Linked DNA regions of Coturnix japonica. The protein of the gene in region 1 purifies or fractionates together with the protein of each later gene. This does not show direct contact. Links are inferred from orthologs where the notes say so. Each region holds a gene or a part of one and is shown on either strand. Other genes may lie near its edges. The genes, in order: ASF1A, HAT1 and C5H15orf41.

Evidence for each region.
Region 2: the proteins of ASF1A (region 1) and HAT1 purify together in Homo sapiens (affinity purification with mass spectrometry; 4 studies listed by BioGRID and IntAct, counting the BioPlex papers as one, with this or other methods). This does not show direct contact. The link is inferred for Coturnix japonica from reciprocal best matches to the Homo sapiens genes ASF1A and HAT1.
Region 3: the proteins of ASF1A (region 1) and C5H15orf41 purify together in Homo sapiens (affinity purification with mass spectrometry; 3 studies listed by BioGRID and IntAct, counting the BioPlex papers as one, with this or other methods). This does not show direct contact. The link is inferred for Coturnix japonica from reciprocal best matches to the Homo sapiens genes ASF1A and CDIN1.

What each region holds. Positions count from the first base shown.
Region 1 is NC_029518.1:57,107,383-57,111,131, reverse strand, and holds the start of ASF1A (histone chaperone ASF1A), read left to right. Parts: upstream 1-1,481; 5' UTR 1,482-1,867; coding exon 1,868-1,976; intron 1,977-3,749. UniProt on the Homo sapiens protein: Histone chaperone that facilitates histone deposition and histone exchange and removal during nucleosome assembly and disassembly.
Region 2 is NC_029522.1:16,001,899-16,005,647, reverse strand, and holds the start of HAT1 (histone acetyltransferase type B catalytic subunit), read left to right. Parts: upstream 1-1,245; 5' UTR 1,246-1,314; coding exon 1,315-1,321; intron 1,322-1,462; exon of another isoform or gene 1,463-1,694; coding exon of another isoform or gene 1,695-1,740; intron 1,741-1,802; coding exon 1,803-1,856; intron 1,857-2,175; coding exon 2,176-2,247; intron 2,248-3,749. Other genes in the region: SLC25A12 (calcium-binding mitochondrial carrier protein Aralar1), read right to left, coding at 1,068-1,163. UniProt on the Homo sapiens protein: Histone acetyltransferase that plays a role in different biological processes including cell cycle progression, glucose metabolism, histone production or DNA damage repair. Coordinates histone production and acetylation via H4 promoter binding.
Region 3 is NC_029520.1:28,375,455-28,379,103, forward strand, and holds part of C5H15orf41 (protein C15orf41 homolog), read right to left. Parts: intron 3,047-3,649; coding exon 2,981-3,046; intron 1,707-2,980; coding exon 1,601-1,706; intron 1-1,600. UniProt on the Homo sapiens protein: Plays a role in erythroid cell differentiation.

The DNA.
Region 1 (3,749 bases):
ACAGACAGAAGGAGAAACAGCAGGTTAACTCCACCACATACCTCTACCATGCATCTCATTTACACTTGCCGGTAGAAAATCCCACTAGCGTTACACAGGTTAGCCATGATCTGCAGAGCAGATTCTGCTAAGCATTCCAAATTTAGTAATTACTTATTAACAAGGGTGAGAAAATCAAATCTACTATATTAAAATGAAAACTGGTGTGACTACAAAGCCCACAAATGTATAGAATGGATGCATTCACCAACCACTAAAATAGACAAATATTGCAGAGCTGAAAAATAAAGCTTAGAAGAAAAAAAAATAATAATCCAAAATGAAATGAACCAAATAAGTTCCCAGCAGGCACTTGTGAATCTACATGTGATGCAACACTGGGAGCACGGAAGGTCAGAAATGTTTCTAAGCTGTGATAATGGCTGCTCACTATCAAGTATGTGCAGCTCTTTCCCATTTCCTCGTCCCTACTCCCCAGCCTTTTCTCTATCTTTAGCCCTTCTTTTTCACTCCAAAGCGCTCTGCTCAAAATATCCTGGTAGATGACAAGCTGCTGCCAGCCTGAAACCTCCTGGAATGTTACAACGAAACTTGCCCAAGGATCTTCCCATGGCACATCTCTGTGCAGATCAGTCAGAAATTATTGGCAATTTATGTTTCTTGATAGTAATAGTAGCTTGTTGTGAGGAGTCTCTTCTACTGTGCCCAATCTGGCCTTTCATCTGACACGAGGAATGCTAAAAATGTACACTGAGCAACAGATGAGGCAACTATCAGACACTTCTTTGTCAACACAGAAGCATAATCACCTTTCCAAACCTGGCAGTGGCTTGGAGGACGGCTAAGGGCCTCACTGTAGACATGGCAGCACTCTGCTGCTTGCCTGCATGGCTCAGGCAAGATGTCTGCTCCGTACCTTCCTGCCGCACATTAAGTGTTCCCCGCAGGCACGATTACTGCATGACCACGTATTTATTTCCTCCGGGAATCGCCTCTCACGCTGACGAGAAACACCTCACACCCCCAGCCCGGGGCACGGCTCTCCCCAGCCCAGCGGCGGGCGGTGACATGACATATCCCCGCTGCCATTCCCGCACACGGCAGCCTAAAATGGCCTCCTCCAAGGGCCGCTTGTGTTCGGGGCGTGCGGCGCTGCCGGAGGCTTCACTACAGCACAGCCACGGGTTGACAGCTTTCTGGAGGCCGCTCACACAGCGGACCAGGGCTCGGTCGGGCAGTCCCCAGTCAGCACGTAACACCTGACACCTCCGGGTTCGCGAAAAGAATTAAAAAGAATGAAAACACGCCTTCCTCGGGCACTAACAACCGGCAAAACCCACAGCACATGGCGGAAACCCACGCGCGAGCAGGGGCGCGGCCTACGGCTCCCGGGGCCGCCCCTCGGCTCCGCGCTCGGCCCCGCCCGCTCGGCCCGGCCCCTCCCCGCTCTGCGCGGCCGTTGGCCGGCGGCTGCCGGGCGGTTTGGCGGCGGTGTCGGGCGCCGGCCGGGCGGGGGCGCCGAGCGGCGCGGAGGGGCCGGGCGGGCGGCGGCGGTGCCTGTCTTGCCGCCGCTCGGCGGTCGGCTCGGCTCGGGGAGGAGGGCCCTAGCCCAGCGCGCGGCCAATCCGGACGGGCGCTGGCGGAGAGCAGGGCAGAATGGGCCGTAGTTGAGTGAAATAGGAAAGCTGCGAACAGAGTGGAGTGCTCCCGGTGTAAATAAAAGGGGGGAAGAAAAGTTTCCCCAAGTCGCGGCTCCGCAGCCTCGCTCCGACGGGGGGCAGGGGGCTTCGTGCGAGGCGGAGATCACCGCTCGGGACTTTGCCGTGCGGCGTTCACCCGCTCCTCCTATTGTGATTTTTTTCAAAATATGGCAAAGGTTCAGGTGAACAATGTAGTGGTGTTGGACAACCCTTCTCCTTTCTACAACCCTTTCCAGTTCGAAATCACATTTGAGTGCATAGAGGACCTGTCGGAAGGTGAGTACCGCTCTCCGGACGCGGGTTCGGCGGTGCCCGGGCTGTCGGATGCGGGGCCGGGCGGGCTCCCTTCGGGCCGGGCCTGCTCCCGCCGCCGCACGGTTCTCCTCCCCGCAGAGCCGTGCGGCCACGCGGGGGATGCGGAGCTACGGCGGGGCCGCCCGGCCCCGGCCCGGGCAGGGAAAGTTAGCGGCGGAGCCCTCGCTCCGGGGCCGCCGCTCCGCTTCGCTCCCCGCCGCGCCGTCGCCGAGGCCGCCTTCAAGTTGCGAGGAACTTGTTAGAGTGGTGGTAGCCATGTTGCCAGCTTTGTGTGTGCGTGGGGGGGCAGAGCGGGAGCGGGCGGGCGGGCAGGGCGCCGCGCGGCCCCGCGACGCGGGAGCGGAACTGTTGCGCGGCCGTAGCGCTGCCAACGGGAGGTACCCGCAGCGCGGGCAGCGTTTGGAGCGTGCGGTGCGGGGCCTCACGGTCCATTTTAATACTTAAAAGGAGGGAAGGAAAAAAAAAAAAAAAGAAAAGGAAAAAAACAGAGCTGGAGGCCGGGCGGACGAGCGGGCGGCTCTCGGTGGGCGCAGTGCTCGGAGCCCGGTGGGTGGCGGTCCGGAGGCGCGGAGCCGTGCCGGGAGGAGGGGGAGGCGGTAGCCACTATTTTTGGAAGTCACTCGAAAGTTACCGGCTGCCGCCGGGGGAGGCGGCTCGGCGCCGCCCTGCACGCCGCCCCGCGGGGACCCCGGGACGGGAGACGCGGCTGAGGGACCCTTCTCGGCCGGGCTCGAGTCCTCCCGTCCGCACGGCGGGCCGCGAGCAGCCCCCGGCCCGCTGTGGGCCGGCTCGCTCGGCACGATGTGTCCGTGCCGCCGGCAGGCCGCGCCGCGCCTCTCCGCGGGAGGCGCCCCGAGAGTCCGCGCGGGAACAACCGGGCGGGAGATTCGAACGCGGCGGCGCACGGCGAAGGAAGCGGCGGGATGAGCGGCACCGAGAGACAGGAAAAGGCCGCTCCGATGGAGCAGCCACAGGACAGGTGCCGCTATGGGGCACAGTGCCGCCTGCTCGCCGGGGAACCAGGGCAGACAGCGGGAGGCAGGGAAAGAAACTCGTGGCAGTAGAGAATGGGGACGTTTCTATTGCTGCTGTGGTTCAGTTTGCCTCCCTCAACACTCGGCGCGGGTTTCTGTCCCTGTGTGGCGGGTTGGCGGTGCTGTCAGGAACTTTGTCAAAGTCCTGTCTGCGTTTGAGGTTCCCCCCACGCCTCTGCCCCCTTCCTAAAACTGATCAGCGTCTCAGTTTGAGCAGCCCGCGCCATTAAGCTCCGTGCACATCCCGATGCTGATGGCTGCTCCTCCCTGACTCAGGCAGTCAGGGCTCACTCAGGACAGCAGCACCTGAATCCTCACACAGCAGTGCCTGCAGCAGCACAGGCACTAGGCATCACCTTGCCTTTCCTTTGGTTTGTGACCACTCCTAACTGTGTGTTTAACAGTGCGATTAATCTGGACAGTCAGGATGAGAACTGGAGGTGGCCCAGTTCAAAATTCTCAGTTCCCTTCCCCCATCTGACAAAGGTTAGGCTACAGGATATGTTTAGGGTAAGCATTGCTATCTTTCACGTTTAAAAATGAGGTTAAACAGCTTCTTGAAGAGAATGAATTGCTGTCATTTCCTTAGCGTTTGTGTGCTAATGTCTGCTCTGCTGTTTACAGCCAGTCCTGTGCACCACTGGTCTTAAAAGTAAATTAATTGAGTTCACTTCCCCCGTCTTTAAATTATTCCAAGTCA
Region 2 (3,749 bases), on another chromosome or scaffold:
TAAGGGCGGCGGTATCGGCTGCCTTATCTAACCGATAAGACTCAAACACGACATCCCGTGTCACCCGCTGACAGCCGGCCCAGCGCGCGGGTCCCGCACCGCGCCCGTCCCTGGGGATGCGGAGCGCCGGGCCGCGACCGTTCCCTCCCTCACGCGCCGAGTAACGGCCTCGGCCCGCGCCGCTGCTCCTCGGCGGACGGAGGCAGGACCGACCGCGCTGCCCCTTCCCCGCAGCCGCCCCCCCCCCGCCTCCGGCTTCGTCCCGCGTCCCTCGGGGCCCCGCGGGCAGGCACGGCGGCCGCCCGACGACGGAGGAGTCACCTTGACCGCCATGCTGCGCCGGCGAGCGGGAGGAGGAGCCGCGCGCCTCTACCCACCCGCCGCGCCGCCGCAGCGCCGCCGCCTCAGCGCCGCGCCGTGGGAGGCAGCGCCCGGCCCCGCCCTGCCCCGCCCGGCGGGCTGCCCTCGGTATCCGCCGTACCGTGTCGGCGGCCCCGCGCCTCCAAATCCCGCAGCGCGGCGACCGGTGCCGGCCGGGTCGGGTCGGGCTGCAGCGGACGCTCAGCCGGCTCCGTGTGACAGCGTCGGGGGCCGCCGCATCGGGGCGAGAGGCGCTCGTGCACGGCTCGTGCCGCTGAGCGGGGCAATGCCCTGGGGATGTGGCGGCCCAGCACAACGGGACAGCGCTGCAGCCTCAGCCCGCAGCACGGCAGGGACACGGCAGGGAGCGGCCAGGCACGCGGCAGGGACACGGCAGGGACACGGCAGGGAGCGGCCGTACGGCGCCTGGCGGCGGTGAGGGTCGGAGCGGCCGGTGTGACCGTAAGGCAGAGCGGGACCCGCCGGGCGCGGGGCAGCGCAGACCGGCACAGCAGCTCGGCGTCCGAGCTCGCAGAAGGGATTTGGAAGGAACCTGCCTGCTCTGCCAGCGCCGCTGCTGCGCTCCGCAGGGCCGGACCCTGAGGCGAAGCCACTAACGCTTTAACGAGAGCGAATCGGCCCCGGGTCCCTCATCCCGTCCCGGCACTGAGGCAGGTGTGAGGCTGAAGTAACGACACATCAGTAACCCCGCTGCAGGCTGCCCCTGGGGCGGGGCTGTGCCAATGAGCCGCTGAGCCAACGCGCGGCTCCTTAAAGGCTCCCGCCGGCACGCGGCTGCGCATGCGCACACGGGGTCCAGCCTCAGCTGGCGGTTCCCGGCCGCTTTTGGGCGGGCGGAAGCGGAAGTGTGTGCGCGTCTTCTCACTTCCGCCGAGTGGGCGCGCGGCTTGATTCGTTGTGCCCGGGTGACTCGGCCGCCGCCGCCGCTGGGAAATGGCGGGTGAGTCGTAGGCCGGGGCCGGCCGGTCGGCGGCCTGATTGCAGCCTGACTGCAGCCGCCGGGGTGTGGGAGCCGTCGTCCATCTTCTATTAAGGGGAGCAGTCGCCCTGGGCGCGGACGGTGCTCCTCCCCGCGACCGGGCCCGAGTTTGTGCTGGGCCACGAACGGGAGCAGGGCCCTTTGCTGGCCTCGCCCCCCGCAGCACAGCAGGAGCTCGGGGCCATCTCGGGCCCTGCGGACCGGGCCGTGGGCTGGGCGGCCGCTGCCGTGGGTCAGCTCTGCAGCGGGGCTGTATTTACACACCGTGTGCGGCTCTGTGCCCGCCGGGTCATTGAGAACACTTCTGGAGTAACCTTATTCTGAATTGCTTGAAATGGGAGGAAGAACTTCTGCTAATGCTGCTGGAATAGGGAGACAGGGTGGGTTTAACACACTTGAAAAATGCCTTGATGAATGACACGCCTTTTGTGTGCTGGATTAGACGCTGGGAAACAGGCTACCTGTAATTTCCTGCCTCATCCACTCTGGAAAGAAGGTAATAGCTACGTAACAGCTTGGTAGCATTCCTGCCACAGTTCAAGATCTCCTGACATGCATTAACCCTTATTCAAACACATCTGCATTTATTTTGGAAAACACTTCATAGTGAGAAAACAGATTGGCTTGAAAAGTAAAGAGAATGACAAAGTAGGAGCTGCAGGGAGAGCAGTGCATTATGAAATGAAGTCAGCGTTATGATGTTGTTCCTTCTGTTCTTGAGAGCCTTTTTCTTAACATTGAATTACATTGAATCATTGAATTACGCTGACCCAGATTGTACATATCGAAACTCTTCCCAAAATCTTTTTCTTTAGGACTGACTCCTATGGAGAAGAAGCTGGCTGAATACAAATGTAACACAAATGAAGCAATACAGCTCAAACTAGGTAATGCCAATTTTTAAATATTATGTGTTTGGAATATTTTAATATCTATTTAATAAAGTCCTTGTAATTTAATCTAATTAGCTGATAATATGCATTTATAAATATACAGGCACAAGAATAGGAATTCATAGTGTAGTTTTATTGAGAATGGTACAGTACAGCTACAGAAACTCAGGCTTTTACCTGTGTAATAACATCAGCAATCTATTAACATACTGCTAAACTGCATTGGGATGATGCCACCTTGTTCTTCTTGAGTTATTAACTATATTCTCTTAGTTTCTTCTTCTCTAGAACTTTTGCTACTATGTAGTCCTAAGTATGCACCATTGTTCTTCTGAGGAAACACAATAAGTAAAGCTGGAAAGTGTTTTTTGGTTTGTTTTTTCCACCTCTCCCTCAACATGTAGACAACACAAGCTATCTTCAACAAAGTCTTTAAAATCTGTGTAGAAAAAGTACTACTCTATTTTTCAGAACTGTTTATTGCTTTATATAGCTAACTTGCTTAATACCATATATAGAATACAAGTGGAATTACTGACTTACTTATATCTGAAACTTACCTGTATTGTTAATTAATAAGACAGTAGGTAATACATCTGTGTTTTTTAATCTTTCCAAACCTTCAGCATTTTGTTTCCTTGAGCAGTACAAATAGCTTTACTTATTAAGAAAGTAAAAATAATTAACATTTTAAGCACTCTTAAGAACTACTATTAACAGTTTGTTCTGCAAAACTTAGTCGACTTTTAAATGCACGGTTGGCTTGTGAGACAAAACATCATTGTAACCTAAATACTGAAGCCTTTGAGCTGCTAACCGGTGAAGCATTTCTCTTCCATTTGAACAACAGTTCAAATACTCATTTTGTGACTATTTTTATTTAATCTATATATATAACGTTTTGGTTTTCCTCTTGTGTCTTTCTAAATCCAAAGGATGAGAAGTAATAGAATATACCTGTCAGTTTACTTTTTTCTTTGTGAGAGTGTAGATGTTCTACATACAACGTTAGAAAAAATTAAAATTTAATGCCATTAAAAACAAAAAAACACGCCTTTCCCGTGAGCATAGGGGTATAAATGTGGACATGGCTGTACTCTTCTGAGTCCTAATTCGTTCCATGGTGATGTTTCAGGATTACTCTGTTTTCCCTTTTTTTCTGGTTTGTTTTTTTGTTGTTTTTAATCTTGCTACTTTGATTCAACTGGGTCGTTCTCTGAATCAAGCTGAAGAAGACGAAAACTGCCATTGAGAGGGCTGAGTTTCATCCTGTTATTAAGAAACCCTTCGTTCACTTTTCTCTTGGAATATCTCCTATTGATGGAAAATCCTTTTTACTTCATCTCCAGTTTTACTGGAGTAAAACAGCAATGAGACTGTAGTTCCATATTCTCCTTTTTTTTTTTTTTAAATTAAAAAAGAACATTTAATAGCGCTGTTAACTCCTACAGCATTGCGTGCACTTGTAACTCATTCAAAATTAGTATGTCACTGTT
Region 3 (3,649 bases), on another chromosome or scaffold:
CTCTGAGTTATCACTTGAGAGATCCTTGGATAGACTGATCCATTAAATCATTCAAAACTGATTCACAGTTTGTCGAGTTATGCCTGTGCCTTTCCATTTAAACAGTCTCAGAGAGCAACAGAAGTTGACTAACTTACATGCAAACTAATCTGTCATCAAGTGTTCATTAACCTTTCAGTATCTAAGGGGGAGCTACAGGAAAGAAGGTGAGAGAACAAGGGAAAATTGCTTGAAGCTCGAAGAGGTTTAGGTTGGATTTAAGGAAAAAATATTTACAATGAGAATGATGAGGCACTGGAACAGGTTGCTTAGTGGTGTGGTGGATGCCCTGTCCCTGGAGGCTTTCAAGGTGAGGCTGGATAAGGCCCTGGGCAACCTGATCTGCTGTGGTGTCCCAGTTCATTGTCGGGGATTCAGGCTAGATGGCCCTCAGAGTTCCTTTTCAACTATAAGGATTCTATGATTCCATGATCAAGCCAACTGCCATTATATTAGAAAAAGCTTCAGTAATTCACAACTCAATTCAGAAGACATTGTGATAGCATTAGTTTGATCAAGCAGTACCAACAGGATTTGTATTTACAAAACAATAGCAACAAAAAACAAACAACCCAAATAACAAACAAAAAGAGAGCATACAATTATACCTTTTCCCAAGCTAAGGCTAGCAATTTTCACCTTAGCATTTTTTATACTCAAGACAAAAAATGATGGACACCACAAACTAGCCACTGATAGCGGCATATGCTGTTAGTTACATGTTCAACCATTTTTGTACCGTTTTCTCTACCCTCTGTTAGATTTCTCAGAGACTGTCTGAACACTGAGAAGATCTATACTTTTACAAATCCTTTATTAAAACTATCATTTACATCTCTCACTGACTTCCTAAGTGTTCCACCACTTAAAGATGAGTATCTTATCATTATTAGTTTGGGATGAAAAATCTTCTAGTGAGAAGACTGCTATTACCTTGAAAAGATATACAACTATACACAATAACAATCTTCCTTTTGTATTACTGAGCTAATGTAACAGTCTTTAAAAGAAAGGATCTTTATGAAAATAAAATCAACATTCAAAAATTCTGTCCAGTGTGACTTCTCATATTCCTGCAAACACTTAACATTTATTAGCTTGAAAAGAATATAATATTATTATGTAAGATTTAGATAGCATATGAAAAGAACATTTTATCAAACAAAAATGAATCAGAATTGTGTTTGGCACACATAGTAGGCAATATTTTTCTCATACAAGGCCTACTTGTTAGACAGTGAGGATTTTAAACTAAGTTTGGCATCTTGCAAGTATTAAAGAATCTTCCCTTAGTCAAGTTCTAAAAAAAAACTGAAATAAAACTTCTGTACCAAAGCACTTTATTTTGTTAACTAGCATCACTTTAAAAACACCATACATATCTGTTGCATGTTAGCACTGAAAATATTATTTTTCCACAAATACTTCAGCATTGAAATTTGACATACTAATTCATAAAATTCAAGATGTCAGATTAGTAAAATGTATTTTATTCACACGGTTTAATACAAAAGCCCAGTATCTTAAAAAAATAAAAAAAAACCTAATAACAGAAACATACCTATTCCAATAACTCCAAAACTGGTCCTGCAAGTAGGCCTGGTGGCTACTTTCATCACCAAATGAGGCTTTGCTTTCAATCCAGTGAATTATGTGTCCTTCAACAGCTAGGGTGACAGCAAAAAAAGTGAACTGCAAAAATCAGACTGAACAGTCTTAAGAATGTGTTTGGGAATACCCTGTTTAACCCCCAATCTACCACATAATTCATGTTTATACATATTTACATATGTGTAAATACATTTTTCAAATATGTATACTGATAATGTTTTTTTAAAAAATAACACATATTATTTTAATGGATAATTATCTCAATTAAATATCATCTCATTCTAGATATTTGCCTTTCTTCTTAAACACAAACAATGTAAAGAAAGAGACCAGAAAAAGAGATCAGACTATGGAGCAACTGTGTCCTACTTTCAGCCTTACTTTAGTGAAAAGCAATTGAAGATGTCTGGTGATTATCAAGCAGTTAGTTAGTTAAGCTGCAAATGGTAGAGAATTCTTAGCCCACAGTAGAAGGTGTGATAACAGAAAGGAGGGTTACCAGAGATATATAACTGCCTCCCAACTTTTTCAAAATCAGTAATGCTTCAGCAAGAAGAATTTAGGAATAAGAATGGCTATGTGAAAGATCTGATATGGAAATTCTGTTTCTGGGATTTTCACTGATTGATGCCTTTCGGTATTTCTCGCAGGACAGAATTTGCAATATTAAAAAAACACATTTATTTATTTATTTATTTATTTATTGGTGAAAGAAAGCCCTGTCTGAAACTGATAAACTAATTTTGCAGAAGAAATTGTGAAAACCACTCAAAAGGATCATCCGTTCTCTAGAAGGACAATGTGGAATAGCAGTACTGAGTTAAGGAAGCCTTTAAAAACTTTTTAGAAAGCTCTCATATCTACACATATACTTATCTACTGGATAAGAAAGACTACCATGCTGAATGATTACATCTGAAGAACTGCTGTGGATAAAAATTTTTAATAGTATGCACTCAATTCCTTCTACCATGAATGAATTGGTTATCTGTAAGAATTCCTTCTCTTGTTAATATGAAGAACAAAAAAAGCAGTCATGAATATGGCTTTCATATAGGGCTTTAAGCCTTTTTATTTTCACTAATACCTGCAAACACCTGCCTAGTTTAGTTGTAAACAGATAAAGGAGAAGTCTACTTGTATTTTGGGTAATACTATTCTGACCCAAAGTAGATGATCTTAAAATTACTGAGTAAACACAAAAAAACCCTGAGAAATATTTAGTATCCTGTAACATACTTCATATTCTTATGTCTTAAGAAGTTGTATTACTTTAAGATAAACAGTTCTATACAAAATAAAATAATAACAATTCTTTTCAAAGACTTACCTACTGGCACTTCTAAAATAAAGTCTGGTGTTTTGTCATAACCCTTTGCACGAAGCTGATCTTCGGCTACACAGAGAGAACAAGGCCTATTGTTTATAAAACTCTTCTATTAAGTAGACAGCAGTATAATTAATTTTATTTTAAATAAGAGTGTAAGAATTATTAATGCAGTCATACATATCTTTCTTATGCATGCAATGATGTGTCAGATTAAATGAACCTTTGTAGAAAACCTGAAGCATGGATATAAAAATGCTTCTTTGTCATCCCTGCATTTTTATGTCTTCATTATAAACATCATTAATTCAAGCTGTCATACAGTATTTTATAACCTCCAAATATTCAAAATAAAGAGATATATTCACTGATTGAAAGAAGAGTTTCCTCACATTAGGGAGCTGTTGAGATTAATCCTACCAACACCACAAATGTAGATATATTGCAGTTGCCTTCATGGCTTTATTTTAATGTTAACACTAAGGTGTTTAAAAAAAACAATCAAAAAAAGAAAAAAAAAACCCACAAACAAGACAGTTCTTCTCTTCTAGAAATCCATTAAAGAAGTATGCCATGATTCTAAAATAAATTAATTATAATTAATTAATTAATTAATAAAAAATTAAGTAAAATTAATTAAACATGAAAAAATTAGATATTTTCTTAACACAA